3 linked regions of the Astyanax mexicanus genome follow. The protein of the gene in region 2 interacts with the protein of the main gene of each other region in a pairwise test. Links are inferred from orthologs where the notes say so. Each region holds a gene or a part of one and is shown on either strand. Other genes may lie near its edges.

Evidence for each region.
Region 1: the proteins of sp4 (region 2) and nrf1 interact in binary tests that used the Homo sapiens proteins (3 or more experiments, as listed by UniProt). The two-hybrid records come from large-scale screens. The link is inferred for Astyanax mexicanus from reciprocal best matches to the Homo sapiens genes SP4 and NRF1.
Region 3: the proteins of sp4 (region 2) and pou2f1b interact in binary tests that used the Homo sapiens proteins (3 or more experiments, as listed by UniProt). The two-hybrid records come from large-scale screens. The link is inferred for Astyanax mexicanus from reciprocal best matches to the Homo sapiens genes SP4 and POU2F1.

The regions. Positions count from the first base shown.
Region 1 is NC_064409.1:27,674,811-27,685,628, reverse strand, and holds the start of nrf1 (nuclear respiratory factor 1), read right to left. Parts: upstream 5,406-10,818; 5' UTR 5,092-5,405; coding exon 5,078-5,091; intron 1-5,077. UniProt on the Homo sapiens protein: Transcription factor that activates the expression of the EIF2S1 (EIF2-alpha) gene. Links the transcriptional modulation of key metabolic genes to cellular growth and development.
Region 2 is NC_064410.1:3,087,779-3,098,382, reverse strand, and holds the start of sp4 (transcription factor Sp4), read right to left. Parts: upstream 5,327-10,604; 5' UTR 5,096-5,326; coding exon 5,089-5,095; intron 3,868-5,088; coding exon 3,782-3,867; intron 2,095-3,781; coding exon 570-2,094; intron 1-569. UniProt on the Homo sapiens protein: Binds to GT and GC boxes promoters elements. Probable transcriptional activator.
Region 3 is NC_064418.1:5,046,043-5,056,908, forward strand, and holds the start of pou2f1b (POU domain, class 2, transcription factor 1b), read right to left. Parts: upstream 4,670-10,866; 5' UTR 4,606-4,669; coding exon 4,560-4,605; intron 1-4,559. Other genes in the region: gpa33b (cell surface A33 antigen), read left to right, coding at 7,286-7,352, 8,447-8,616, 8,724-8,940. UniProt on the Homo sapiens protein: Transcription factor that binds to the octamer motif (5'-ATTTGCAT-3') and activates the promoters of the genes for some small nuclear RNAs (snRNA) and of genes such as those for histone H2B and immunoglobulins.

The sequences.
Region 1 (10,818 bases), on a different chromosome or scaffold from region 2:
GCAATTTATATGAACAGAATAAAAGCCACTGCCTGTGGTGTACATCTGCCAAGGTTTGAAAGTCTTTATTGTTAAAGATTAGCAGTCCAATGCTAACAGACTAACTGTAAAATCAGGACAGAACCGTTAAACTGCCTAATAGTTAATGAGACGTTTCCGGGTCCTGATTTAAGTGGAAAAATATTGGTTAGATTATTAGGTTCTGGTGTTATATAACGGATAGTGCTGTGTTGGTTAGATTAGTAGGTTCTGGGGTTTGATAACAGATGAATGTTGCTGTGCTGGTTAGATTAGTAGGTTCTGGGTTTGATAACAGATGGATGGCGCTGTGCTGGTTAGATTAGTAGGTTCTGGGATTTGATAACAGATGGACGGTGCTGTGCTGGTTAGATTAGTAGGTTCTGGTATTTGATAACAGATGGAAGATGCTGTGCTGGTTAGATTAGTTGGTTCTGGGATTTGATAACAGATGGACGGTGCTGTGCTGGTTAGATTAGTTGGTTCTGGGTTTGATAACAGATGGATGGTGCTGTGCTGGTTAGATTAGTAGGTTCTGGGTTTGATAACAGATGGACGATGCTTTGCTGGTTAAATTAGTAGGTACTGGAGTTTGATAACAGGTGGATGATGCTGTGCTGGTTGGATTAGTAGGTTCTGGCATTTGATAACAGAAGGACGGCACTGTGCTGGTTAGATTAGTAGGTTCTGGTATTTGATAACAGATGGAAGATGCTTTGATGGTCAGATTAGTAAATTCTGGGGTTTGATAACAGAAGGACGGCACTGTGCTGGTTAGATTAGTAGATACTGGGGTTTGATAACACATGGATGTTTCTGTGCTGGTTAGATTAGAAGGTTCTGGGGTTTGATAACAGATGGACGGTGCTGTGCTGGTTAGATAAGTCATTTCTGGGGTTTGGTAACAGATGGACGGTGCTGTGCTGGTTAGATAAGTAGTTTCTGGGGTTTGGTAAAAGATGTATGGTGCTGTGCTGGTTAGATAAGTAGTTGCTGGGGTTTGGTAACAGATGGACGGTGCTGTGCTGGTTAGATAAGTAGTTTCTGGGGTTTGATAACACATGGATGGCGCTGTGCGGGTTAGATTAGTAGGTTCTGGGGATTGATAACCGATAGATGGAGCTGTGATGGTTAGATTAGTAAATTCTAGGGTTTGATAACAGATGGACAATACTGTGCTGGTTAGATTGTTAGGTTCTGGGGTTTGATAACAGATGGATTACACTGTGCTGGTCAGATAAGTAGGTTCTGGGTTTTGATAATAAATTGATCGTGCTGTGTGGTTTGAAATGATGATTATGGTTAAAGTTAACTTCACTTACTACCCTCAAATCACCAGAATGCAGCCATAGGCTTAGAGCTAACAGCCTAACTTAGTAGCTTCTCACTAAAGGCATCAAAACTATAATTGAACGCATGTAGAGTTACGTACTTAACAAAAAAAGGTCAAATAAACTTAAACATATTCTAGTTTCTTTAAAATTCTTTGCTCTGATTACTGCTTTGCACACTCTTTGCATTTTCTCAATGAGATTCAAGACGTGGTCACCTGAAATGGTTTTTCAACAGTCTTGAAGGAGTTCCCAGAGGTGTTTAGCACTTGATGTGGAATCCATCCGTTCACCTTTTCTGCGTCTCACAAAGACATGACGGTTGGAAGCAAAGATCTCAAATTTGGACTCATCAGACCAAAGCACAGATTTCCACTGGTCTAATGTCCATTCCTTGTGTTTCTTGTGTTTTCTTAGTTTTGATGCCTTTGGTGAGAATCTACAATGTAAATTATTTAAATAAAGAAAACGCATTGAATAAGAAGGTGTTTCCAAACTTTTGGCCTGTATTGTATGTAAGATGACAGTATGTTACTCTGGTCAAGCCAAGGTGGCCAAGCAGAGCCAGTTTGTTTATGTTTATCATCTCTTACAGTAACTGAAATGTAGCACTGGCTCAAAGGGCACCATGGAAAGCCCTTATTCAGAGTTATTTTATATACATTATTTTTTCTTTTACATTAATTAATCAAAATTAACATGTTGACATTTTTTGTACTAAACATTTGCACAGGATAGATTTGTGGTAGCTGGTAACAGGACTATTTGTGTGCCTTCATATGCTATTGATGAGTTAGCTAAACTTTAACTTTAACTTTGGATTAGGACATACACTATATCTGCACAATCCCAGATTTAGAAGTATTTTTTTGGCAGAGGTAAAACAAGTATACTCCCTATAAAAACGTTAGAATACAAGACAGGTGATGGGCCATGTTTACATGTTTAAGCATCTAACAAAGTTTTCGTGGTAAGGGAAAACTAACCAAATATTAGGTGTGCTGTAGGTGTGATTCTAAAAACATCCAGAAAATGAAACTGAACACCAAATTCTTATTTTCTTGTCTATTAACAATACAAGTCACTCAAACTGCGCTAGAAATAGAACAGTTCACAGAACTCACTAAAGAAATCAAGTCCAATCTTGCCATCATATTTATGCACATAAAAAGTAGCTAAACTGCAGATCTGATAAGTAGTTTTAGCTGTGGTTTTTCATACTGCATATAGTTTTTAGATTTTAATGCTGTACACTGTTTCCTCTGTAGGGCTATCACAATATGCAAAAATTACAGTTCAGATTACAATGTGATTTGGACATGACAGTTAAGTACAAGAGTGGTACAACAAAAAGCAGCAAAATCATCTGATCAAATTATGATAAAATATCTAAATTCTGTTAATATTTGCATCTAATTTGTAAGCATTTTATGCAGGGCTGGAATATTTAATCATTACACAGCAACATATATTAATGTAAAAATGTCTAAGTGTAGTTCCTCTTTAGGACATATTTGATTAGCCTAGATTCTAATATAAAAACAGTGGCGTGCAGTTAATACAGTGGGTACCCCTTCTGCAACACCCCACCCAGTCTACACATAGATGAATATTACAATAACTACATATTCTGTCTTGACTTAGTAATATGAACTTAATACACAATAACAGCCCACAAAAACAGCTACAAAAGACAACAGTACCATATACAATAGACCACAACAATCAATGCTTAATTCTCCTACAAGAACAGCCGTTCAACAAAGATCACTCCTTTGTAAGGTTACAGTACGCCAGGGCAGCCAAAACATTAAGTATTTACAAAAACTCACCAGTCAGGTGGCCTATTATTGTGAATTAGTTTCCCATTGAAATGTAGCCTTTAAAATGCTTTTTAATTAGATATTACACAATATTTGTCATGATAGATGATCGATAACAGGATAGTTAACTATCAAACTAAGCATTTCACAACTGTTGTACAACTAACCAATGCATAGCCCCCTTATCAGAACGCTAAGGAGGGGTTAGACAGCCATGGCCCCACCCCTGTAGTGAAAATCATGAATCTGATTGGTTAGACTGTCCTGAATTGGTTGCTGTTTTTTTTATTTAGATCATTTATGAAATATATGCTTACAATTTACAATAACTATAATATATATTTCCTGATTAAATATTATGTATTACATTGTCACCACTTCTCTGAAGGGTTAAAAGTGCACACCACTAATAAAAATGACCTAGGCTTGTAGGAGATATACAGCTGCTTGAAAAAGTATTCATACCCCTTTGAACTTTTTTTCACATTTTTTCACCATACAGGCACAAATTTAAATGGATTTTATTGAGGTTTTAAATAAAAGACCAATACAAAGTAGCACATAATTGTGAATTGAAACAAAAAATATATGTAATTTTAAACATTTTAAGTCAAATAAAAATCTGAAAATTGTAACACAAAAGTATTTAGTTCCTCTATATCAATACTTATTACAGCAACCTTTCTCTGCAATTACAGCTGCAAGTTTTTGGGGTATGTCTCTACCAGCTTTGCACATCTACAGCTTGAAATGTCTGCCCCTTTTTCTTTGCAAAATAGCTCAGGTTGGATGGAGAGAGTCTGTGAACAGTCATTTTCATGTCTTGCCACAAACGCTTAATGGGGTTTAGGTCAGGACTAACAAGAATATTCTCTAATTTAAACCGGCACTTCTTATGTTTTTCTTTTATCAATTATTTTTTTCTTGCCACTTCTCCGTAAAGCCCAGATTTGTGAAGTACAAAACAAGAGGTATGAATACTTTAGCAAGCCACTTTACAGTATTTACAGCATCTGTTAATGACTTATGTTTATTACATGGAGCTTCCGTCTGTTCATTGCATTTACTTCGAGCAGAAACAGCAGCACTCTGAAGACTATTGTAGCCTGACAGTGATGAGGTTGATGAGAATATGTTGAAAACAAACCAAAGGCAAGCATCTGAGTGTAGACGACTGAAATGGCTGAATAATCTAATTTATATTTTAAAAGAATTTAAAATGTCACATTTGACTGATTATTAGTCTGCTATATGTAAGGTTTAATTAATCGTTTGGCTTTTCCTTAGATAAAAAATAAAATTACATGTTTGCCTACCTACAGTGCAAGTTGTTTTGTTTCATATGCAGTAATAATAAATAATTGGTCCACACACCCCTATAATAAAAATGTCTATTTACTTCAAACAGCCAGCTAGCCAACTAATGGGGTCTATAGGTTAACTTAATGCTAGCAACACTCAAACATTACAATCAACAATACTATAAAATGTAACCTAATCATTTAATTTGGTTGCACGACTGTCAGGTCTCATTCCTGAAGCGAGCATGGAGCTACTAACTACTAACAGGGCCAGTTAACTAGTAACGTAATGTATGGGGTAATAGCAGGCTGTGACAGTTAGCTAACTAGCATTCAGAAGCCACACGTTAGCGAACCATATGTACATTTTTGTGTTCTTATTAAAAGGCAAACAATTTTCGAAAGTAGATTAGATTAAAACGGACTAAACGAGATCTAAATATGTCGGTGAATTTTTGTAAGCTCTTCTTTTGGCTTGCTTGTTAACATGCTAGCTAGGATAGCTAACTGTGCCCTGTAGTAAGTTAACAGACAATGCTAGCTAAGCTAGCTGGCTAGCTAACTACGCAAAGTACAAAGAGAAAAGGCAATAAAACATTGTTACATTAAGCTTCCCATCCTGCAGTCTTTAGTAAATTCCAGGGTCAGTGTAGCTAGCTGTCCCACAAACGGGTCACCAGTCTCTCTGGCGTTATTGCTGAAGCGGGCAGCTACAGCCCACAGCCAGCTAATGCTGTTAGCTCCGAGTTATTTCTAACCCGCCATCACAAGACCAACACAGCTCTAACCAGTGGCCTAGGCCGGCAAATGCGACATAGGTTTTATTTGTAGGAGCGCAGTGTTAATACTGCTGCTCCCAGAAACAGCTCAAAAACTCCAAAATGTCCCGTTCTATTCCGCATCAACACACGCTCATCCGCCTTTTCTCAGCCCTCCGCTGCCGGGGTGTTGTTGCGGCTGCGCCGGGGCTAATATAGCTGGCGATTGCGCGGTAGGGTACTAACCTCAGAGCGGCTGCGCTACTTCGGGCCTGCGCCGTACAGCAGAGAATCAGAGTCGTAATGGAGGACAAAGAACAGAAAGCGCACCCGATTCTGTAGCAGACAGCTCAGTGGTCCACATACTGCAGGCTAAACCCCGCCTACTCTTAATCCCAGTGACACCCCCATCCCATATATATAAATATAAATAAATAAATAAATATATATATATATATATATATATATATATATATATATATATATATATATATATATATATATATATATATAAAAATTAAGAAGACATTGCTACTTAAAACCTTACTTAAAAGTATGGAGCGCCTAAAGGGCAGGTTAATTGTTGTTTTCATGTGATCTCAGATTTTATGTTTCATTATTACAGCAAGTACTGTGTACGAGCAAGGTGGAGTATGTATCAGGGTGTGTGAGTAGTGTGTGATGGGGCTGCTCCTAGCACGCTTGAAGGTCACCTGCCCTGATGACACTAAAATATTTTTGATAATTGAAAACAGGTTGTTTCAGATTATCAAACAAGTGTAAACATTAATCAAAAACAACACAAGTAAACACAAAATGCAGTTTTTAAAATGAAGGTCTTTCATTATTAAGGGAGAACCTTCGTGGCCCTGTGTAAGAACTCTTTGCCTCCCCCTAAAACACAACTTAACTGTGGTTTAACCACATCTGAGTTTAATTTCTCTAGCCACACCCAGGCCTGATTACTTTCACACATGTTCTCAATCAAGAAATCACTTAAATAAGACCTGACAGTACAGTAGACCAAAAGATACCCAAAAGCTAGACATCCTGTCAATATCCCAATAAAAATGACAAAGAAATAAAAAAGTAATTGAGATCTATCAGTATGGAAAAGGGTATATAGCAAGTTCTGGAACTTCATTAGCCACAAATGGCAAAATGTAGAACAGCGGTGAACCTTCCTAGAAGTGTCCAGCTGACCAAAATTACACTAAGAGTGCAGTGATGACTCATTTGAGAGGTTACAACAGACCCCACAACAACATCCAAAGAACAGCAGGCCTGCATGGCAGAGTGGCAAGACGAAAAACCTCTGCTGAGCAAAAAGAACATTCAACATGCTCCTCTCAATTTTGCCAGAGAACATGATGATCCTTAAGACTTTTGGGAGTACTCTGGACAGACGAGACAGTTGAACTTTTTGAAGGTGTGTGTCTATTACATCTTTCATAAAAGTAACAGCATATAGAAAAAGGACATCATACCTACTGTAAAATATGGTGGTTGTAGTGTGACTGCTTTGCTGCTTTAGGACCTGGAAGACTTGCTGTGATAAATGGAACCATAAATCTACCAAAAAGTCTTGAAGGAGAATGTCCAGCCATCTGTTTGTGACCTCAAGCCGAAACAAACTTGGGTTCTACAGCAGGACAATGATCCCAAACTCACCAAGTCCACTTGGTTAACTAAAAAGTGGCCTAGTCAAAGTCCTGACCTGAATCCTTTTGAGATGCTGTGGCATGACTTTGAAAAGACTGTTTATGCTCGAAAACCCTTCAATGTGTGGAATTACGACAATTCTGTAAAGAAAAGTGGGACAAAATTCCTCCACAGCTCTGTGGAGTTACCGCAAATGCTTGATTGCAGTTGATTGATTGTTGCTAAAGGTGGCCCAACCAATAATTAGGTTTAGGGGCAAATACTTTTTCACAGAGAGCCATGTAGTTTTTCCCCCCATAATAATAAAAATTTTTTTATTTAAAAACTGTGTTATGTTTACTTGTGTTGGCTTTTAACTAACATTTTTATTAAGTTTAATGATATAAACCTGATATAACATGCAAAAAGATGAATCACTATACCTAGTTGTTACCACATTTTAAGTAACATTTTGTTACTCTGTTTCATTTGTTACTCTGTAACATTTTGATCTCTGTTTCAGATCTGCTGTGGTTCAATAATGACCTATGGCAGAAGCACAAGGTCCAGACCATTCTCACTTTAATTAAAAACAGGTGCTGAATGATAAAACAGAATGGTTTTACAGAATTAATTATTAAAAAAAGGCACATAAAAGTGCAGTGTGTCACTTTTTAATTTTCTTGTTAACTAAATGTTAAATCAATTTAGAATCAAAATCTCACACCTTAACAGTTTAATAGCTTTAAAGGAGAAATCCAGTGTGAAATTGAGTAGGTAGAGTTAAGTATAGAGGTTTGTATACATGTCAAGAGGAATTTTGGTCCACTCCTCTTTGTAGATCATCCCTAAATCATTAAGATTTTGAGGCTGTCACTTGGCAACTTTTCCTTGAGATCACAAACAAGTTGCCCCTGTAGTTTTAGGCTGATCTTTTACCTGATACTCAATGAGGTGAGATTTTGCACGGAGCCCCTGATCAATGTCGATTGACAGTCATTTTGTATTCTTCCATTTTCTTACTATTGCACCAACAGTTGTCTTCTTCTCACCCGGCGCCTTATGTATGGTTTTGTAGCCCATTCTAGCCTTGTGCAGGTCAATGATCTTGTCCCTGACATCCTTAGAGATCTCTTTGGTCTTGTCCATGTTGAAGAGGTTATAGAGTCATTAAATCTATGAACAGGAGTCTTTTATACAGGTGACCATTTAGGACAGCTGTCTTTAATGCTGGTAACTTTAATGAAAGTAATGAGTTAAAAGCGTCTGGTTAACTGGTCTGTAGGAGCCAGAACTCTTTAATAGTTGGTAGGGGATCAAATACCTATTTCTTTTTAATAAAATGTGATTTTCTAGATTTTATTTTTAATATTCTATCTCTCACTGGAAAAATTAACCTACCCTTAAAATTATAGACTGTTAATGTCTTTGTCAGTGGCAAAATTATATATATATATATATATATATATATATATATATATATATATATATATATATATATATATATATACATACACATATATATACACATATATATACACATATATATATGTATATATATATTTATATATATACATATATATATAAATATATATAAAGGCAACACCATAACAACGCAATTAGTAAGACAACTTCTATAAAAGGAGTGTTTCTACAGGTGGAGATCACAGACCTTTTCTCTGTTCTCTTCTTTTCTGTTTTGGTCAATTTTGCATTTTGTCAGTTCTCTCACCATAGAGGTAGCATGAGGCAGTGTCTACAACCCACAGAAGTTACTCAGGTAGTGCAGCTCATTCAGGATGGCACATCAATGCGAGCTGTGGCAAGAAGGTTTGCTGTGTCTGTCAGCACAGTGTCCAGAGTATGGAGCAGATACCAGGAGACAGGCCGGTACACCAGGAGACATGGAGGGGGCCGTAGGAGGGCAACAACACAGCAGCAGGACCGCTACCGCTAAGAGGAGCAGTGCAGAGTCCTGCAAAATGACCTACAGCAGGCCACCAATATCCATGTTTCTGTTCAAACTGTTACAAACAGACTCCATGAGGGTGATATGAGGGCCCAACTTCCACAAGTGGGGCTTGTGCTCATAGCCCAACACCGTGCAGGGCGTTTGGCATTTGCCAGAGAAAACAAAGCTTGGCAGATTCATCATTCGTCTTCATGGATGAGAGCAGCTTCACACTGAGCACATGTGACAGACGTGACAGAGTCTGGAGATGCTGTGGAGAATGTTCTGCTGCTGCAACATCCTCCAGCATGACCGGTTTGGCAGTGGGTGAGTAATGATGTAGAAGGCATTTCTTTGGAGGGCTGAACAGACCTCCATGTGCTCGCCAGAGGTACCGTGACTGCCATCAATTGGTCATTAAATGTGTTCTGATATTTAAGACACAACAATAGACAATAGACAAACATAGTAGACAAACACAGTCTGCTTAAACTAATACCACACAAAAATAATATGTTTGCATGGTTTTATTGAACACATTAAAATTCACAGTGAGGGGGAAAAAGTACCCCCTAGACTAATAACTTTCCTAAGAGCTAATTGGAGCCAGGATGTGATGAGATTGGCTGTGTTGGTTAAAGCTGCCCTGCCCTATAAACACACATGTTCTTAAGAAGCATTGCTTGATGTGAATCATGCCTTGCACAATAGAGCTCTCAGAGGACTTGCATTCAATAATTGTTGACTTGCATGAAGCTGGAAAGGGTTACAAAAGTATCTCTAAAAGCCTTGATGTTTGTGTCCACGGTAAGAGAGACGGTCTACAAATGGAGAAAGTTCAGCACTGTTGCTACTCTCCCTAGGTGTGGTCATCATGTAAAGATGACTGCAAGAGCACAGCACAGAATCATCAATGAGGTGAGAGAGAATCTGAGAGGGTCAGCTGAAGACTAATGCTAACATTTTTGTTGACAAATCTACAATAAGGAAAACATTGAACAAGAATGAAGTTCATGGGAGGACACCACTGAGGAAGTTGTCTAAACTGTTGAACTGCTGTCCAAAAAAACACTGCTGCACATTTGAAGTTTGAAAAAAGCACCTGGATGTTCCACAGCAGTACTGGCTAAATAAACTGTGGACAGATGAAACCAAAATTGAGTGGTTTGGAAGGAACACACAATGCTATGTGTGGAGAAAAAGGTCACAACGCACAATCATCAAACCCATGGTTTGGGACTGCTTTGCTGCCTCAGGGTCTGGACGAATTGCAGTCAGTCATCAAAAAAATTAATTCCCAAGTTAACCAAGACATTTTGCAGGAAAACATTAGACCATCTGTCCATCAACTGAAGCTCAACAGAGGATAGATTATGCAACAGGACAGTGACCAAAAACATAGAAGTAAATCAACAACCGAACGGCTTCAACTGAATAAAATACGCCTTCTGGAGAGTCCTGACCTCAACACAATTGAGATGCTGTGGAATGACATCAAGAGAGCGATTCACACCAGATATAACAAGAATATTGCTGAACTGAAACAGTTTTTTGAAGAGAAATGGTTAAAAAATCCTCCTGACTGCTGTTCAGGTCTGATCTGCAACTACAGGAAATGTTTGGTTGAGGTTTTTCTGCCAAAGGAGGATCAACCAGTTATTAAATCCAAAGCTTCACATACTTTTTTACCCTGCACTGTGAATGTTAACATGCTGTATTCAATAAAACCATGCAAACATATCCTCCCAAAAAATATAAGTTTAAGCAGACTGTGTATGTCTATTGTATTGTATATTGTGACACATTTAATGACCAATTTATGCAGAAATCCAAGTAATCCCAAAGTGTTCCCATTCTTCCTGCAACTGTACGATGTGTTATTTTAGTGCTCCCTTTATTTTTTTGAGCAGTGTATATACATACAGTAAAGGAAATAATTATTGATCCCTTGACAAACCATCATTTTTTTTTATTTTACATCAATGTTAAAGACAA
Region 2 (10,604 bases):
ATAAATATGCTAATTATAATTTAGCAAAAATAAATTTACACTGTTGTCACTTCCCATTATATAGTATCAAGGCATTCTGGATCATTGACTTCTGTTACAAGTCTCATTAAATTCTTGTATTTTCTTTTTATTTATATCTTAGTTAGGGGTGTACCATATCATATTGTATCATATATTATATGCAATAATAATATTTAATTTTAATTTTGTTGCAGTTGTGCCTTTGTATTGCTAAGAGCATCGTTATCACGAAAATACCATGACGTGACATTGTAATATTATTTTAGGGCCATACTGCCCACCCCTAACACAACAGTTTGTTTTGTTTTAGCTTATTTGCTTTAGCTTTTTTTGCTTGTGGCTAAAGTAGAATTAAGGCCCTATAAAGCACAAGTTTTGCTTGAAACAAATGATACAACACCCTATTAAATAGAACTGAATTATTGTGGCTTTATTACACTTATTATTAAGTTTCATAACTAAGTGGTTATCCAATGACAGAGTGGTTATTCAAACTTCTCTAATGCTCAAAGCTCAAAGAAAGTGTTAAAAAGCAATGTGGGTCTTACTCTGCACTCCTGTGATGGTGAGGGGCACTCCCTGCACTTGCACTCCCTGTACCCCAGTGGTGCCCAGGCCGGCTATGTTCACGGTCTGCACCCCTGCCCCAGGGGTCAGCTGGGCAGTGTTGAGGGTAATAGGCGTCCCCCCTAGTGTAAGCGGGGCGATCTGTGTAATTCCGCCAGTGTTGGAGGCCACGGGTGTGAGGGTGAGTTGCTGGGGCATAGCGGCATTCTGCACCTGCACCGTCTGCCAGCTGATCTGACCCGTGGGCGTGAGCGTGGGTGTCCGGATGAGGACCTGCGCCGGGTTCTGGAAGGCCTGTAACTGGACGTTCTGCTGTACTGGCTGCAGGGTCTGGCCTGGCTGAAGCTGGATGGAGCCCTGGACCAGCTGCTGCTGTTGCTGTTGTTGCTGGGGCTGCTGGATCTGGAACTGCTGCAACATCGGGGGAGAAACGATTTGAAACTGCTGCACCTGAGCTGGCTGCTCTTGCGTGGGCTGAAGCCCATTAGACTGGGTTGTGCCTTGGCCGTCTGAGCTCTGGCCATCTTTCTGACACTCCACGCCTGATTCCAAGGCGGCGGTGGCCGCGGCATCAGCGGTGGTTGTGACGATGGACTCTACGACGCCAGACGTAGTTGTGCAGGTGGCGACGACTGCGGTTTCTGCTCCACTGACTGCGCTTGAGACAGGGGTAGCAATCAACTGGTTGCCATTAGCAATGCTGCCATCGCTTGTCTGGACCAGCTGGACAGATCCTCCACCCGCAGCCACATTGTTGATGACGGGCAGAGCTAGCGTGACGCCGCCTATGTTTATGGGTAACGTCGTCACCATTGGTGCTTGTGCGCCCTGGATCGTCTGCACCTGGAGCGGAAATGATGGGCGGATCTGCAGCGGAATGGCCTGACTGTTCACATTCTGGGCCACGATGCTGGCAGAGGTCGCCCTCTGTGGAGCGGCGAGGATGGCTTGGTTGTTCCCAGCAGAAATGAGCTGGATCTGCTCAGGCTGGACGCTTAAGGCTGTGGGGTTGCTGGGGTTTATCTGGATCTGCTGACCGTCAGCAGTCTGGATGTGTGGGATCACCTGATACTGGATCCCTCCGGTCGAATTGGGCATGTTCTGCACCTGGATGATCTGAAACTGCTGTTGCTGCTGCTGCTGTTGCTGCTGCCCCACACTGGCATTGTTGGCGCCAATCGTTTTGACCTTCCGGCCCTGCGTGCCGTCCACAGCCACCACGTTTGCTGTGGTCGCTACAGTGGCCACACTGGTCGTCTGCATGTTGTCCTTGGCCATAGTGGTGGTGGTGGCAGCAGCGGGTGAGGCTGCGATGATCTGCCAGCCATTTCCTGTGAACTGGGCCGGCAGAAGCTCCAGCTGCTGAGGGGGGTTCTGGAGCTGCACCAAACCCTGGCTGGGGTCTATGATGATCTGCTGCTGTGCTCCGTGCTGACCCTCCCCGCCTACACCTCCGATTTTACTACATGTGGCTGCAAGCAGAGCGAGGGGCGACGGCTGTGCGTCCTGTTCACATACACATACACACAAACACATCACACATTCACACACAGAGGAAAAAAAAACGCTGTTAGTTTCAGCAGATGTAGGCGGGATTACAGGAAGAGTGGGTGGGTGGTTGTGAACTACAATTTCTTCATTTCCCGATGAGGGGCATGAGCAACACGAAATTTGCGCCAAAACTGGGTCACAGCAATACTGAATGAAGAGAAATGACTGACTAACTGACAGACACACGCTCTCAAAATGACATATAAATACATAGTAAAAAGGCATCCTAGTATTAAAAAGCATGCTTACCAACAGTTACCAACAACTACCGCACTAAGTAATGTGTTAAAATTAAGCATCACCATTAGAACTGCAGTTATTAGTAAGAAATGTAGTAAGAAAAGTGCAGAATTGCACGTTTTAGGTAGTAGGCATTCTACAACAAGGAACATTCAGCTAAAATCTTGCCCTCTGGCATCTTAAGTGTGGGAGTATTTTGGACAGAACCAATAGTGTGTTGCGCTATAAGCTCTGTTGTAGATGTGTAGAAGTGTAGCCAGCACAGTAGCATAACAGCATCTAAATGTTACTATGTGGACCATGATGCTTGTGCTACAATTTTTTGGTGCATAGATGTTATCTGTTGAAAGCCATTTTTGCAACATTGCATCATACAATATTGTTCTGTTTATAATATTGATCATGCATGAGTGAGACAATAATGCTTAAACTGACATCACAGCCTGTTACTACAGCCTGTAAATAGCTTTAATTATTTTCCTTCCACTACTTTGAGGCAAATGCATTGATACACTTGCCAGTGAATACTTTAAATACACATTACCCCAGTGATAAAAAAAAAACATCGAAATTATAACCAGTTTGAATGTTAAGTCTAGTATTTAAATAAAATATTATCACTCTATTTTAGGTAAAGTGTTGCTATGCTATGCTATTTTTTTTTTAAGTATAAACCCTGGAATGTATGCTAGCATGTATTCATTACAGCTGTGAAACTGCACATAGGCCTCTCACAAAAAATACATAATCGATTTATTGCCTAATATATGGACCATTATGTTTAATTAGCAAGGATGAGATGCCATGCTAAAAATGATCAAAAATTATAAGTGTTTTATGTATTTATTTATTTTTATTTAAAATATCTGCTTAGAAATGTCAGGAGTCTATTTCAATGTATAATCATTTTAATTAATAACTAAAAGTTTACTATGTTTGAAAGGGATGTATATGAATTAGTATGCTAGTATATCATTATTAAGCTAATTAACGCTATATCATTTGTATAAAATGTTTTCAAAATGACAATAATATATATTTCCTGCAATTATATGTGGGATAAAATAACATTAAAGCTATAAAATAGGTATTGTGACAGGCCTACACAAAACAAAAATAAAATGCCCTCTGGAAAAAATATATAACTAATATTTTAATCATATTATAAATCAACAAGTTAAAAATAATTAATAAAATAAATAAAATGCCATTATGAATTATAAAATAAGCTAGCTAACCTACTGCTGTTGCTACTGAAGCTAAAGCTAAAGCTAAAACTAGTGAGCAAAGCGGCTAACGTCAGTTAGCAGCCAGCTAACGTTACCCAGCACTGAATCAGGAAGTGTGTGCGGGGACAGAAAATGAGTGGCTGCGCAAAGTTTAACGCAAAGTTAAGAACAACCTGTGATCCGGGGGTCTTCCCTTTGGTGGTCCTTTCACCTCCACCCGATTTCCCCCCGTCCGTGGCCATGGCTTCCTTCTTCTGATCTGCGAAAACCAAATCATGTCTGGGTCAAAACAGCGCGGAGGCTAGTGACAGCTACAGCGGGCCGACCGAGCAGAGCAGCCCGGGCAAGGAAGCTCTAAAGGCGGGCAGAGAAACCTTCAGACTGACAGGCAGACAGGCTTCAGTCCAACAGGTCATTAGTGGGCAGTAGTGGGCAGGGAAATGAGCTGAACTGACAGACAGAAACACGGAGAGAAACATAAAGCTAGAGAGATAGACAGTCCTGAAAGAAAGAGAGAGAGAGGGAGGGCTGGTCGTTCTTTTCACATATGGATAGATAGATAAATTAGATAGTAAAACGTGAGCACATAAACACAACTAGTTAGCTAGTCGATCCTGAAACAGTTAACTGTTAGCCAACCTAAATAGATAAGATAGTCAGCATAAAAACACAGATAATTATATAATTCTAAAAATATAATTATATAACCTAAGTAACTAGCTATGTCTATAAGATAGATAGATAGATAGATAGATAGATATATAGATAGATAGATAGATAGATAGATAGATAGATAGATAGATAGATAGATAGATAGATAGAAAAACGTGGGCACAAGAACACAAAAAAGGACATATAACGCCGGCTAGCTAGCGTTCTATAACTAAGACAGCCCTGATGACTGGCTGGTCGTCATTTGTTTTTACAGATAGATAAGATATATGGTAAAACGTGAGCACAGAAAGGCAGCTAGCTAGCTCGAAATAGACAGTCCTGGATCAGAGATATTGGCTACATAGATAGTAAAACGTGAGCACAGAAACACGGAAAGGGGCATATATGATAGCTAGTTAGCTATAACCAAGATAGTAATACATGAGATATATAATCAGACATATAATAAACGTGTGCACAGGAGGAACACAGAGATGGGCATATATAACGTTAGGTTATAATAGGTAACTGTTAGTTAGCTAGTTAGATGACTGGCTGCCTGCTCGTCATTTTACCCCCCTGATTGTTTGATAGATAGATGGCTAATTAGATATACACTGCACAAGCAAAACACTAGCCATGAAAGACAGCAGCCAAGTTCATTCTTACAAAGCCATTTTCTGTCAACCAAACAAACAGGGGAGGGAAGGTCCGTGCATGTGTGTGTATGTGTATATATGTATGTGTGTTTGAGTGTGTGTGGAAAGAGGGAGAGGGGGAGAGACAGAGGGGTGGAGACGACAGCTCGGGGAGGGAGGGTACGTACCACTCATCCCGCATTAATAAAACCGGAGAGGAGTTGTTAAAGAGGGAGAAAAAAAAGAAGGCCGGACGCCGCGGAGGCAGAGGCAGAAGCAGAAGGCAGGCAGAAGCCCGGAGAAGGACGGCCTATTTTTTTTTCCTCCCCACGAATGGCTGCTGGGTGGTGTGGCGTAGCTCCACCGACCGACCGCACTGAGCACTAAACGGCGCGCAGTGACGAGCAGACCCAGCCCCGCCAGGAAGGAAGGGCGGTACCGAAACACGGCAGCCCGTGGGAAAATAAAGCAGAAGCGTGTACCTTTGGAAAGCGGGCGTCTGTCTCTTCTTCAGCCTGCGAATTTTCTCTTTTTCTGCCTTCCCTCTCCCTCTTTTTCCTCTTGTCCTCCGACGAAACGCGTCCAAATCCAAGTTATTGTAGCAGCTAGCTAGTTAACTAACGCTCCAGCCTCGCGTTTAAGGCCCACCCACTTGTATTTAAATATCGAGTGAACGCAGGAAAAAATACGCCCCGCTCTTTTTTCCTATGTGAGTCTTATTTTAGCCAAGCTTTAACGTTAATAATCCCCGTCCTCCCGGTGCGTCTCGCCGCTCGCCGGATCCGCTGCGTTCACTCTGCGATATTGCAAAAATAAAAAACCTCCATCACACTTTTTTTTTCATGCACAATTGCATTAGCTGGAGCTACAGTTAGATATATATAAAAAACCCTCTGCTATGGCTTTTTTGTGGGCGGACGCTCTCCGCCCACATATTCAGATTGGACAGGAACAGTTCGAGGCTGAACTGGCTGATGGGAGTTGTAGTTTAAAGATGCATTGGCTTTAAGCCGCTCGAGTCGTTCAAAGCTAAAGCGCGGAACTACAACCCCCACGAGGCGTAGCGCGCGTGCGTGTAGAAAAAAGGGAAAAAAGCGAGGGGGTGTTGTTAGGTTCGGTTGAAGGGGATGAAGAAGGGCGGTTACTTGTGCGATGTGGGGGTTGGGCAAATGGAAGAAACGGGAGGAGAAAAGATGACCTGTTCCCCCGTGTCACTCACAGCTACCGCGCTCTTATTAGGCGTGAACCGCACGGCACGAGCCCGTGCAACGCTGCACAGCGTGCCAGTATGATCACTGAACGCTTTTAAGAGATTTAAGGTCGAGTGTAGTTAGCTCGCTAGTTGATTTATTAGCTGAATGTGCTGTGGAGTTAATAACTAAGCTAGCGTAGCTTCTCCCTCATCCTCTTAACTCTGTGTGGCATTTGGGTGCTACAGGTGTGCACAAAGTAGCTTCATAGACCTTACAGGTGGATTGAACAAATGTAGTGTTAGCAATTGTGCAGATTTTGTTGTGGGCACCTAATGTATTTTTCACACTATAAAGCCCTATCTGGATGGATTCGTTTCTCTCAGTGAGGGGTAATTTTCTTTTTTATGGGGGGTCCTCTGTGATTTTATTCCCATCCGGAACGACCATGTACTTGTTTTTCTCAGATGTCTTTTGAAAGGAAAATTACAGGCTAAATTATCTACTGTTTTTAGCTGAACTCCGTGGTCCTCAGGTAATTTTAGTTTCGTCTGGACGCACATCTCTGAATTTTGTCTCCTCGCGTTTAATAAAATAGCTATTTGTCCACTGTCCCGCACCGTAATTACACTTTGGGCCTGCATTTCCATGTAGATCCACTTAAACACAACAGCAAGTGGAAATGGAGGAGCTACTAAACAAGATTGTAAGGAGCAGTAAAGCCACTCCGCTGTTTTATTTAGGTCTCCAGCCCTGAGGCTGGAGCAGTGTTAACGTTAGCCGCTATTCACGCTAAACGCTCGCTCTTTCGATGTTCAGGGGTGAGTATTATCGGACTGTAGCCTGTTTTTTACCCCGGCTAGCATTACTGGAGCAGCATTAGCCACAGCCTCTAATTGCAGTATGTGCTAGCATCCTTTGCCGCTCACATGTAAGTATATCAAACTGTAGGCTCCACGTTTACCATGTTAAAACAAGCTATATTGGAACAACCGCTAGCTAATATCACCCTGGCCAGATACTACATTTTCCTGGTAATGGAAAAACAAATAAACAAGTAAAGTTAAATCAAGTAGTGTAGGCACCACACATAAAATAGCAGCTGTAGACACTGAGGTCAGAGGGGCCTGACATGCTATATTAGATGCTATTATGCTAGCTGCTTAATTGTACAATGTAATATGCTGGTCTGGGATCATTTATGTTTCTTTTTGGAGCTTCTTAAACACTGCCTGGACAAAAAAATTAACTAAGTAAATGATGTGGGGTTGGTTGATGCTGCAGTTGGTCTGAAGGTTTAGGTATAGCAACAGTATGTGCTGAAAGAATGAGGTCAGCTGACTACCTGAATATACTGAATATAGACCAGGTTATTCCATCAATGGATTTTTTCTTCATATTCCAAGATGACAATGTCAGGATTGATGGTGCTGGAATTGTGAAAGAGTTCAGGGTTCAGGGAGCATGAGATCATCATTTTCACACATGGATTGAGAGAGTTCACCAGAGTCCAGACCTTAACCTCATTGAGAATCTATAGGATGTGGTGGGGAAGGCTTTGTGCAGCAGTCAGACCATAATTAATAGAAGATCTTGGTGAAAAAAATAATGCACACTAAATTGAAATACATCTTGTGACTTTGCGAAAAACTTAATGAAACAATGCTACAGCGAATATATTTTTCAAAATAAAAGTTGAAATAAAACAAATCATTTAATACAGTTTCAAAAGAGTCTGTTTCAGCTTGTAGAGTTGCACGTGTCTGCAGTGTTAGAAGACACTGAAACTCAGCAGCCCCACCACAAGACATGTTTCTACTCGTGTGCGGGGAGGGAGAGTAGTAGTAAACACATCATCGGAGGGATGTGGTTGGTTAACACTGTTACTTGATGCAAGGTCTGCAGAGCTGGTCCAGACTGGGGCAGAACAGTTGCCCTTGAAACTCCAATACTACTCTACCTCTACCTCATTATTTTGGCTTAAGAATAAAGAGACTTATGAAGAAAAGTATACTAATACAAAGTTTCATTTTGTGTTCACTGTTGTGATGTGTAAAGAAAGCACAAAATAAGCCAGTGTTAGGCCCAAACTCAATTTCTAATTTGCCCCATTATCCCTTTTTTTCCCTCAAATAGGTCTCAAATAATGCTTTTCACTGTATACCAACTTTAACTCTTCACAACAAAACTGATGGTATACACTGAAAAGCCCTATTTAAGCAATGTTCTACTCCAAAAAAAAAACTTTAAGAAAGGAAGGTCAGTCAATCCGAAATACTGCAAGAACTTTAAAAGTGTCCTCAAGTGCAGTGGCAAAGACCATCTAAAATGTTAAAATGGAGAGGTCCAGAGGTTCGAATCCTGATCATGCAGCTTGCCCTCAGCTGCTGAAGTCCCGAGAGAGCACAATTGGCCTTGCTCTCTCTGGGTGGGTAGATGGTTCTCTTTCCTCTCATTAGTTGTCCCATCAATTGTCCCATCAGCTGAATGGATGTGACAATAGGCCTTCCTAAATTGGGAGACAATGGGAAAAAAAAAAAAGATAAAAAAAAATTATAATGAAACTGGCTCTCATCAGGACTGCTTAGGAAAGGACTAAAAGTTTCCTCTGATGCATAGGATAAGTTTATCAGTGGTATTACACCAAATAAGAGCATCTAAATGCAAAGTATTTGGTTTGTTTAACACATTTTCCTTAAGTTTGCTTCTTAAAGTTTATTCTTTATGTGTTCCTCTATAGTCTGGATGGCTTTAGTATTCATTTACAATGTAGGAAAATTAACACACACACAAAAAAACACTTAAAATGAGCAGGTGTGTCCAAATTTGGCACTGTATGAGAGGTACTGTACATCAACACAGGAATTTAAATATAACATGGACAAATAATCATGTTATATCCTTTCCAAGCATGATAATAACCCAGATTATATTGATGACTACATGGGTACATATTGGCTAATGGCTTCTACACCTGGAACCCATTACTTTCTTACCAACCAATATATTAGTAACATGTCTGATGATGATTTTAAAATAATCTTAAATTGGAAATAAAAAAATACCCATAAATCAGATTAAAATACTACTGGTCTGTGGATATTCTGGTTGGGCCTTTTATGAGAAGGTTACCACCTGACAGGTATTATGTCCTAATGTGATTGGCCCTGATGAAAAGATGAAAAAGTTTTTATACTGGGTACCTGATATCAGATCTAGATCAGGTTTTAATAACAGACACATTAGTACAATATGATGTGAATATCATGTCAGGAGCATTAAGCACAAAGAGTTCTACTTCTCCTGATGACAGACTGAACCCCCTGGTGGTTCTAAAAATCATTGCATTTAAAAACTGAGTAAAAAAAAGTAAGTATGAATAGATATGTTTGTAAAATGCTGACCTTAAACCAAATTATTTTCATGTTGGGACAGTAAAAAAAGCAAAAATTGTCATTGTGTAAAGTATAAACACATGTAAGCTCATTATACACTGCCTGGCCAAAAAAAAGTCTCCACCTGGATTTAAGTAAAGTAAGTAAATGATGTGGGGTTGGTTGGTTGATGCTGCAGTTGGTCTGCAGGTTTAGGTTCAGCAACAGAATGTGCTTAAAGAATGAGGTCAGCTGACTACCTGAATATACTGAATATATTAATCGTAGCAAATTGTTTTAAAACTAATGTCTCATTTCATTTTTACTACTTAATCATAAAAAATATATATATAATAATGTTAAATAATGTCTTATTCAGTGTCAGTTATTAAAAACTTAACAGTAATCTATTTAATAGTATTTCTTACTGTGATAATTACTCTTAATCGTGACTTTTATTGTAAAGTGTTACTCAAATTTATGTATTTTCACATGAAGTGATTTAAAATAATCAAAAAATATTTTTAGAAAGTAATTTAAAATGAACACTGTAGATTGGCAAAATTAAGAAAACTGAACATTATACTGATTTTAATCAACTCAAAAATATTTAAAATTCTTGTGGCAGTTTTACTGTATACAGCTGCGGAAAATAATAAGAGAGCACTTGATGAGTTTCTTTGATTTTACCAAATTAAAGACCTCTGGAATATAATCAAGAGGAAGATGGATGATCACAAACCATCAAACCACCAAACTGAACTGCTTGAATATTTGCAGAAGGAGTGAGTAGCATAAAGTTATCCAAAAGCAGTGTGTAGGACTGGTGGAGGAGAACATTATGCCAAGATGCATGAAAAAAACTGTGACTAAAAAAACAGAAAACAGGGCTATTCCAACAAATATTGATTTCTGAACTCTTAAAACTGTATGAATATGAACTTGTTTTCTTTGCATTATTTGAGGTCTGAAAGCTCTGCATTTGTTTCTCATTTTTTGCAAATAAATAAATGCTCTAAATAACAATATTTTTATTTGGAATTTGGGAGAAATGTTGTCTGTAGTTTATAGAATAAAACAATAATGTTCATTTTACTCAAACATAAACCTATAAATAGCAAAATCAGACAAACTGATTCA
Region 3 (10,866 bases), on a different chromosome or scaffold from region 2:
ATTTCGGTAGATATAGTCCCATATTCTACCAAAAAAATTACCCAATATTGATGCACCCCTAAAAATAACCAGTTGCCCCATTAAACACTGGACCAATGATCCAGTGATTACATAACAAATTGGTATTGATGGGTCTGATTTCAAACAAAAATGCCAGATCAGATGGAAAAAAAAGAAATAAATATAAATCCAAGTCTGGAACAAATCTATTTGTTCAAATCTGAAACAGTGTGTGAAGCGAAGTGTGATATGAGAATATAATAGTGCATGAGAGAGCTATATTGGCAGATTACTAACAAATCAATATTTATAGTGGAAAATAAAGCATCATCATGTCATCTTAATTCATAATTAAACAAGCTCTCTGTATGTACTGTCTGCGGTGCCCTCTAATCTAGTCTTACTGTGAACAGAGCATCAATAGAAATAGAAAACACTTTATTAACTCATTTTAAACCACAATTATTGTGGGGAATGTGACAGTATTTTGTTAGCATGATGCAGAATATACTTTGTGAGTACATAATGGGTTTTGTCAATGAATAAAGAAGCATGAAGCATGCTTCATTACAGTGAATGTGAGATTTGTCCAATTTAATTGTTTGTAATGCCGCACAATGTAAATAAAAATCACTGAATGGTACTAAGTATGGCCACTAAAGCATGTTTGTTGTGTCAAAACATGAACTAATGTACTAAAATACTGTAATACAATACAGTACCACAGTTTCTAAAACTACACACAGCTATGCTGCTATTTCTCACTGATAAAAGCTAGATTTGCTGCTGTGTTCCTGGGTATTGGTTTCATTCATCCCTCAGTCTATTAATTTTGGGAGGCTTTTGTTTGAGTCTTTCAGATCATTCAGTAATGGGGCTGCCACTTGTTTTCAGCTCTTACAGGCAGCTTTGAAACACTCCCTCCCCAGTTACATGCAACAAAAACATGACTGAAATCCACCTCAGTTGTTCATGCACAGCAATAAGTTATTAACGCAACACACAGACGTGTTTCAGCTTGCCACAGCTTCTCACAGGCCGGGCTCGATACAAACATAAAAGAACATCTTTCTGAGCAGAGCAGGTCTACGCGTTACCTTCGGGACAGCGGCTCTCTTTTTTTTTTCCTGGCACGTCCCATTAGACTTTCTAATGAGGCCCTAGGCTAATGGGCCTAAGCCTATGCATTCTTTAATCGCAAACCAACACCTCCCCCATGCAGCTACAGGAGAGCAACAGACACACTTTAAAAACATGAGAAAAGAGAAAAGAAAGAGAAAGAGGCAAAAGTCAGTGAACTGTTACAATAAATCAGCCAAATGTCCATGCTAGGCTACAACACCAAGGATATTAAAATGATGGCGAGATGTGAAATGTGGGGCAAAAAAAGAGAAGACAGCAAAATGTAAAAAAAAAATAATAATAAATAAATAATAAAAGAAAGAAAAACCCTCAGATGATACTCAAATACAATAAGCATTTATAAGTATAAAGAGGCTTGTAAAATGTAAAACAGCGATGAATTAATTCATGTTAATGTATTTTGTTTGGGTTTTTGAATAAAATTGTAATCTATGTTATGGAAGTAAAACACATACAGCAAACGTTTTACAAACTTGGCTACAAGACTTGAATGTGCTTGTAAAGCTAAATTTGGCTTAGTTAGCTCACTTAACAGTCCATCTTAAATGCATTTGTGTATTAGTTTAATTTTGGTGCCTGAAAATGTAGAATTTAAGGAAAAAAGGATAGGATATAGGGAGTCAAAAAAGGCCTGTATATTGCTGTATCAGCAAGAAACAAGCGTGAAACTGAAGCGAGTGGACTGCTTGCCTCTTGTCCAGGCTGCTCAGGCCTAAGTTAATGAAATTCATTCAGCCGCTAGCTGGCCTGCTACATATGCAGCAGCAGCAACAGCTGCCCGGCTACAATAGGGCAATAGAGCCCAGCTCACTGGCAGCATAACCTACTCCAGATATTGGCTAAAACGCCTGCAGAAAACTCAATGAACTGTTTAGTCAGCTGTATACATACCCATGAAATGGGCTAAGCTAGCTACAACCTATTTAGCCCACCTTTTAATTTGGCTCTACTAGCTTGGCCTGGTGTAAACAATGTAGTGTTACAATTGTTTTTAAAAGGTGAATATCCACCAACACAAAGAGAGACAAGAGAGGCTAGCCAATGTAGTTAGCTGTTATTCTAGCTGTTTAGGCATAGATAGATAAATAGCTAATCTGGGAGTGTGTCATTGTGGGATTTAGCTAGTTATTCAGTGTGAATATTCTGAACAGTATCTGCTCTGTAGTCTTTATCTGCTCTAACTACATGTTATCTGCAGGTATGGGGGAAAGAAATTAAAGAATTTGGACTTTTTAACACAGAGAAAATTAAGACCACTTTAACAAACCCAGCATTAGTATGCCTCACATTAGTTTACAACCTTTATAATAATATTTCCCTGCATCATCTGATAAACCAATGTCTAAAAAAATAGGTTAACTAGTTAATTCAGTGCTGCACAAACAAAAATGGGTCTTGTAGCCAGATAAGCTTACCAGTGCACAAGAACATATTATGCAGCAAATAATACTGCAGAATATTTAGTGCATGCATATAAACTGCAAACTAAAACAAATATACAATAATACACCTAACGCTTCACAGTAAATAATAGACTACTTTTAAGACAGAACAGCCCTATTATCACGATATGGATTTTTCATATGTTATTTCTGTGTCACGATATATTGCATACGATATAATATTGCCCACCCCTTATCTGCAGGTATGGGGGAATAAAATCAAAGACGAAATTAAGACCACTTTCACAACCCCAAAATTACTAGACATTCGTTTCAGCCTTTATAATAAGTCTTTCCTGCATTTATTGATGACCAATATATTAAATATTAGTTTGTTAATTAACTAGTTGGCTAGGTTCACACTGCTGCACAAACAAAAATGGGACTGGAAGTTCATATAACCTAGGTAATACAATTAAACAAGGTTCGGTGCAAAACTGGGGCTTTGTAACCAGTTTTCATTACATTTAGGCTTAATAACCCTTAATATAAAAAGATAGTTCAGTTATTAGCTACTAACTAACTAAATAAGTAAGATAACTTAGCTAACTTGCATATCAAATAGAAAAACTGCGAAATATAACTAGACAAAATGAATCCTAAGTAGTGTTTACTGTCGATGAAATTGTAAGGCCTTTGAAAGACAGGTTTACGATAAATGCAGGCCTTTTTCTTTAAGCTAAATTAATTTAAGTGTCTGCACATCTGTTGTCTTTAACGTAACAGCCAACAACAACAGGCCCACATGAATAGCTAGTTAGCTAAGCTAGGTTAGCTAACACACACATATAGCTATATACACACAACGGGGCCACACGCCTGCTTCTCCTGCTGCAGTGGGACACAAAGGCAGAAGACAAAATATGGACATAAAATCAGCCTTAGAAGCTCCCCTGTCCTTCAGCCCGCACCGAGCAGCCCTCCGCCGCTCGGCAGATCACATTTACGGTTGTAAACACTGCGCGCAGACGCCGAGCGATTGCGAGGAAATGAATATGCAAAGCTTTTATCAGCCATAGGCTCCCAGCACACAATACACAAACACACAAAGCCGCCGTATTAGCATTAGCATTAGCCTTAGCGTTAGCGTAGCGCCGGTGTCCTGCCAAGTTGTGCTATTCATCGAAATGTGCTTCTCAACACCAGTGCGCATGCGTGGAACCACTTTTTTATTTTTATTTGTATGTTTTTAATAGCAATTCTGTTCTAACTGGGTGTGTTAAACAACCAGACGCACCTGCCAGTATTAGTATAGAGTATTACAACTGTGTAAATGAGGATAATAATAAAAAGTTGATAATAATAAAAAGAATAATAATAAAAAACTATTAAATATAACATTAAATACAAAAATACGTTACTGGTTATGCATATCACCCCTATTAACTTAACGTTAACTTTAAACTGTGTCCTTATATGCTGATTCAAGCTTTCCAAGCGAGGCATTTTTTTGGGGGGTCTTTTTCTTGCATTTTTACGTTTAAATATAATTACACTAGAGTAGCATGGTTTGCCAGGGTAGCACAACTCGACAGAACACCGGCCGCCCGGCTCCCTCTCTCTCCCTCTCTCTGTGCCCCGACACCGGGGGGATAATACCCCACAACCGCGGGCTCGGACTGGGACCGGAGTAAATAACAATAATAATACTAACCCGCTGTGATGCCGCTGATTACTAATAAAATATGCTAAACCGCGTTCTCCCGGCCGCAATATGAATATGTAAGTCGCGCAGCTCCGCTCTAATCACACAAAGAGGGGGATTTTCGCCTTTAATTCTCCGTCGCCCAGCATCGCCACTTTCCCCCTCACACCGCCGACAGCTCCCCAGCACCGAGCGGCCGACAGACAGCCCGACCCCGCCGCCGCCGCGGCCCCGGGGGCTCTGTTCACGCGCTCCCCTCTCGCTTAACGGGCTTGAGAGAAAGAGCGTTTGAATATGAATATGAATATGTAAAATGCAGTAATGATTACCTGCTCCTGAACTCTCATCTTGACTCGCTGCTCCTCCGTCCGCCATTTTGAATATTTAAACTCAGATCCCAGCCCAACAGCAGCAGCAACAGCAGCGCCCCATTCAACACACACACACACACACACACACACACAGAGTGGCAGTGAACTTCACACTCTCTCACACACCTCTGAATGCTGAATGAACCTCCACACACACACACACACTCATACACACCAGGATACTCATCACTCCATAAAAGAAGTTTACTGAATGCAATGTAAATGTGCGGTTCATGCTGCAGTTGTTCTGCAGGTTTAGGTTCAACAACAGTATGTGCTGAAAGAATGAGAATGAAAGCTGACTACCTGAATATATTGAATATTATAGACCAGCTTATTCCATCAATGGATTTCATCTTCATTGATAACACGGCCATATTCTGAGATGACAATGCTAGGATTCATGGGGCTGGATTTGTGAAAGAGTTCAGGGTTCAGGGAGCATGAGATCATAATTTTCTTTACACATGGATTGAGAGAGTTCACCACAGAGTCCAGACCTTAACCTCATTGAGAATCTTTGGGATGTGCTGGATGGAGAAGAGCTGCTTTGTGCAGCGGTCAGACTCTACCATCATCAATACTGCAAGATCTTGGTGAAAAATTAATGCAGCGACACTGGATTTCAATAAATCTTGTGATGTTGCAGAATCTTATTAAAACAATGAATGTGTTCTTATTCTGCAACCAAAGCCAAAGGCGGTCCAATTAAATATTAGTTTTTGGTGGCGACTTTTTTATTTTTTGGCCAGGCAGTGTATTTTGCAGTCCAGCAATCCTGTAAAAAGACAATGTGGAAAGTTTTCTGTTTTTGGTCTTCAATAGTGTAACCTGACCTTTACCATTCCTGTAAAATGCCATTCTTTAGGCAACTGATGAGTTCACAACAGTTCAACTCCACCCAATGGCCAAAACATACTAGTGCATCTCAAAATATTTGAATATCATTGAAACTGATATATTATATAGATGTATTACACACAGAGTGTTAAATTCTTTTAAGTGTTTATTTCTTTTATTGTTGATGATTATGGCTTACAGCCAATGAAAACCCAAAAATCAGTGTCTCAGAAAATTTAAATATTATATAAGACCAATTGGTACTTTTGGCAGTGTGGGCAGTATGCTAAGTCCTGCTGGAAAATGAAATCTACATCTCTGCATCATAAAAGTTGTCGGCAGAGGGAAGTATAAAGTGCTGTAAGAGGGAAAACAAAACTGCACTGACTATGGACTTGATAGAACACAGTGGATCAACACCAGCATATGACATGTCTCTCCAAACCATCACTGATTGGTGGAAACTTCACACTAGATCTCAAGCAGCTTGGACTGTGTGTCTCCACTCTTCCTCCAGACTCTGCTCCCTTGATTTACAAATGAAATGTAAAAATTAACTGATGGTCAGTAATGCTTTGAAGAGTCCACTGTCCCTATGACTTTTGTTTTGACCCTTTTTTTTAACCACATTTATTCTTGCTGTTTAATCAATTGCACATGTAATTTTAAAATCCAAGTGGTTTGAGTTTATCCAAAAAAGGTTGGATTAATTGCTCAGTTTACCAATTTTACTTATTTCCATAGTTTACTCATTACTTTAGACTTAGCTCAGACTTCTAAATAATAATAATTGATACCAATGATATAGTGCCATCTGCTGGATAGAACAGCTTATGCATCGTTCAGAACACCAACCTCAATATGCCCCACCTGATCCAACTCATTCATCTCTTCAGAAGGGCTTGTTTGGCTTGATGAGGAGTGTTAGACTGAAATTGGAGGTAAAAACTGCTGAAAAATACAATGTATCTCAATGAGGCAGCCTGAATACTGTTATATAGGGGATATGGGGGAATAAACAGATTACAGACAACCGAACAAGCATTACCCAGTGTATATTAATTAGTATACACTGCTCATTACTATTCCACATGCCAAACATTAGCCTACACAGTACTGGAAAATATTTAACTTGGCAGAAGTGAGTGTAGAAAAGTGACTTTACAGCATATATAAGCATATTTATGTTTTTTTTGTCTTTACAGTATGCACTGTCTTTAGTAAGAAATAAAGACCTTAAAGAAAGGCAATTTAAAATAATAGGTGTAGCTTTGAATATCTAGATGAATGTGTATGACTTAGTAAGAAACTAAAAAAATAAAGTATACTAAAATATATATATAGTAAATGCAACCTTTGCAGCAAGTTACACATAAAACACAGTTTCTTTTTTCTCATGACAATTATTATTAATTTATTATATACAGTAATACAATGACCAAATTAAAGTCTGTGCCAAAGCTTGGGCACCTTACAAATGTAATTACAGCCTGCAGATACTTATTGTTGCTAAAATGATTTGCTTTTCTGGGATTTGTTAAATGTTTGAAGACAATGGAATCCATCATTGAGGGCAAACCTGGCTCTATGTACATGAGCACAACTCTTATACTCTTGCTATATTTCATTCTTATGCTCAGAAAGTAGACAACAACTTCAGTACTGTGGTTTTTATAGTAATTCAAAGGGACGCTCACTGAAAGTCCAAAGGGTGAACAGGTGTGGCTGGTGAGGGTGTGCAGATGGAGCCGTTTTATTTGTCACACCTATTGACCCAGCAGTCATAAGGAAGTGTGCAGACACCAAACCGTCAAGTATTTATTCTGTTACAGGACTGAAATAAAATGACCAGAGAGAGCAGAATGGACAAGCGGAAACTGAGAATCTGTGGGATTGGGGTGCTGTTTTCAGGTAATATTAGAATACATTATTTTTTTGTATCATTAATGAATATGGTATTGAATGTAATTTTTTTTAAACAACAAAATTCTTGGTTTTGTTGTTCAAATGTGACAGCAGTATTTCAGTAATTATGTTTTCATTAAAATATATTAGTCAGTATTACATCAATGAAAATATATTTTCTTTCAGTTATTTTTGACCATTTTTAACCACTTTCACTTTACACAATGTTAAGGACAAGCAGCATTTCCTTATGTGTAAATAATATGTAAAAATAACCGAAAATATACAGAATATGTTATGGAAGTGGAAATATATGTATTTGAGAAAAAAAGACAGAGAGAGGAAAGTTTTAAAAAGCACATAGATCAACCAAAAAAATAATCATGTTCATTCATTTTGAATATCGGGTGGGTCAAAAGGTAAAGAGCGGAAGTACTAGGGCAAAATAGGCCAAACGACTTTTTTAAAAACAAATTTTGCTTTGATTTTAATACATTTTAATATGAATATCAACTAAAAATTTGCTACAAAAAGTTCTGTATTATTTCTAATTGGGGTTGTTTAAGGATTCTTTAACAAATACATTTGAATGTTATTTAAGGCTATACTGTTAGCAAGCATGGCCTTATATAGCTCTATCTTGTAACAATATGGAACACTTTTTTGGAAAACACCAAAAATTGTTTTGCAAGTGTTACAATTTATAGAACATTTTTTCTAACAATGTAGTAAAATGTCAAAGTTCCATAAAACACACCTGAATAAATAAATGGAAAGCCATTATAAAGCTGTATTTAGGAAATAATTTTTTAGCTATGTGTTAAAGGTGCATGTAATGACTATTGGATTTCCATTTAGAGTGGTGGATACTGGCTGGTGTTATAGATGTTATCTGGAGAAGGAATTGTCAAAAACGAATAGGAAAAACTAGAATGCATTCTGTCTTATCTGTCCATTGTTTGTAGATCTGTTGTTCTTTGGCCTTCATTTAAGAGAAATGAAATGTATTGTGTTGTGTGGCATTGCCTGCTCTGTGTTTTTACAAAAAATAAGTTATAAAACACCTGCCATGTGGTTTCTTTTGGTTTCTTTCTCCGTAGTGATTTCTACTTCTTTTGGGTTGGAAGTTAATATTCCACAATCCACATATAAAGTTGCTCGAGGTGACCAAGTTGCCATCACATGCACTTTTCAGCCCAAAAACCCAGTGAATAATCTCATTATCATCTCATGGACTGCTGACCCTGATGGCTCATTTGATGATGAAGGGGTAAGTGTGAAAAAAAAACATTTGGATGAGTTTTCCTAGAAAACAGATGACTATAGAAAGGTTCTTTGCAAATAACAAAACTGCATCTCTTCTCCCTTTCAATATAGCTTAATTTTGGGACGTTCTACTCCAATGACAACCATGTCGACATTGATCCAATGTATGAGGGCAAAATCCAGATTGACAGCAATGTGAACACTCGAGTCTCTACACTGACACTGAAGCAAGCGACCCTGAGAGAAAACAGGCGAATCAAATGCCGAGTTAATATTCCTGGAGATACTGTGGGCCAAACTACAGCCACTACTTCCCTTGTGGTTCTGGGTGAGAATAAATTAATCATAATTAAAGTAATTTCAGTTTAAAATGTGATATGTGTTCCAATGCCTAGGGTGCAGCTGAGTTGGTCTGCAGTGTTTCTGTGATACACAATGGAACTCAGTTTTAAAGTGTAGAGCCCTTACATACAGCAAAGTGCAGTGAAATGAAGTGATTTGAAGGGCACAACTGATGCATCATGACGTATCTGACCCTTGAATACCCATAAAAGAAAAAACAAGAAAAATAGCAGCACTGAAATTGGGTAAAAGTGGCCGAAAGCGAAGACTTCATTACAACTTTATAAATTATTTATAATGTATTTATGTGAAGAAATTAGTTTTGTGCCGTAAGTAATCACATGATATATGCATTGGACATCACCACAAAGCCTCATTAAGGCCTAGAAAGTCAGATTGGATTTACATAAGGAAAATAAATATATATATATATATATATATATATCAGATGCACATAATAAAATAATTTTAATTAGAAGAAATATATATTAATGCCGAACACTTAAATGTTTTATTTGTTATAAAACATTCTAACAGTTTTACTATTAATTTAATGCAAATTATAGTTTAGTGAATTATTATTTATTCAGCCAACATGACTTTTAATACTCATTTAAAGCCGAACTAAACTAACATGTATTAATATTTATTTAATCAAAATTATAGTCTTAACATAATTCACAATCTAACAATTATCATCTTCACAAGTGATAAATGAGTTATTCTGAATTAGTTAATGAGTGGTTCATAAGCATTTTGACAACATAAAGGCAAACACAAAGGCAATTTGCAAACACAATATTCTTAAACATTAAGTCAAAATCTTTCTTAAAAATAAATTGACCAATAGAAATGCTCCAAATTGACCTGAAATAAACTATTTTTACATTCACTTTAATTTAAAGTTAAGTAGATTTTATCTCACTCCTGTAAAGTAGCTGTTTTGGAGATACCTATCTATCAATGCTTCCAGCACACCTGACCCAACAATGTAATTCATTAACAAGTCCTTATTTCTTACTGAGGTAAAGTGGGCGTGTCAAAGCAGAGGAAACTGGTGCAGTGTGCAGGACAAGGGGCCTTCCAGGACCAGGGCCATAAACCGCATTTTAAACTGTTGTAGAATTGAAAAGTACAGTTGTAAATCTCTGACCTCACAATAGCCTGGTATCTCTAAACCTCAGTAAATACACAACCTAAAGAGTGGAAGTAGGAGTAGGAAGTATTTACACATTTTGAAACAGCACACCAACCCATCATACTGTTACAACACTTCACTGGCAGCTCCTAAATAGTTTTCAAGTGGTTCTTGGCTTGAATAAATAGATGGTTCTAGGAAGTTAATACAGAGTCCTACATTATTTGGAGGTTCTTTAAACTTGAGAAATATTTTTAAACTCATATTTCACTTACAACAAGAATGCAAAAACTGCTTTTCTAACTCATTATTTTAAATATTGCTTCTTGGCACATCTATTTTTAAAAACGTATGTGCTGTGTACTGGATTACAATTACAAACCCAAATCAGAAATCTGCTCAACTTAATATGCATTTCAGTCAAAAGTTCTTAGCATCTTGAAGGAGTTCCTTGAGGTGCTCCAGTTCATCCTAAGTCATCGCCTCAGTTAATCAGGTTTAGGTCGGAAAATTGTGGAGGACAAATAAATTCTTTATGTTTTTTACTGTTTTGCAGATGTTCCAAATGTTATAACATTGGAATGGAAAACTAGAAACTATCTGTAGTTTTAAGGAGTTTATTAAGATGTTTAAGAATATTTCAAATATATAGCAGTGTAGTCAAATAAATTATTTAGGCAGGAGCAGCAACACAACAAGCTTCATAATGTGTGCAAATAGCCTGAATGTTTTATTTTGGCCAAATGCATTTAATCTTCATTTTACACTCTAAAC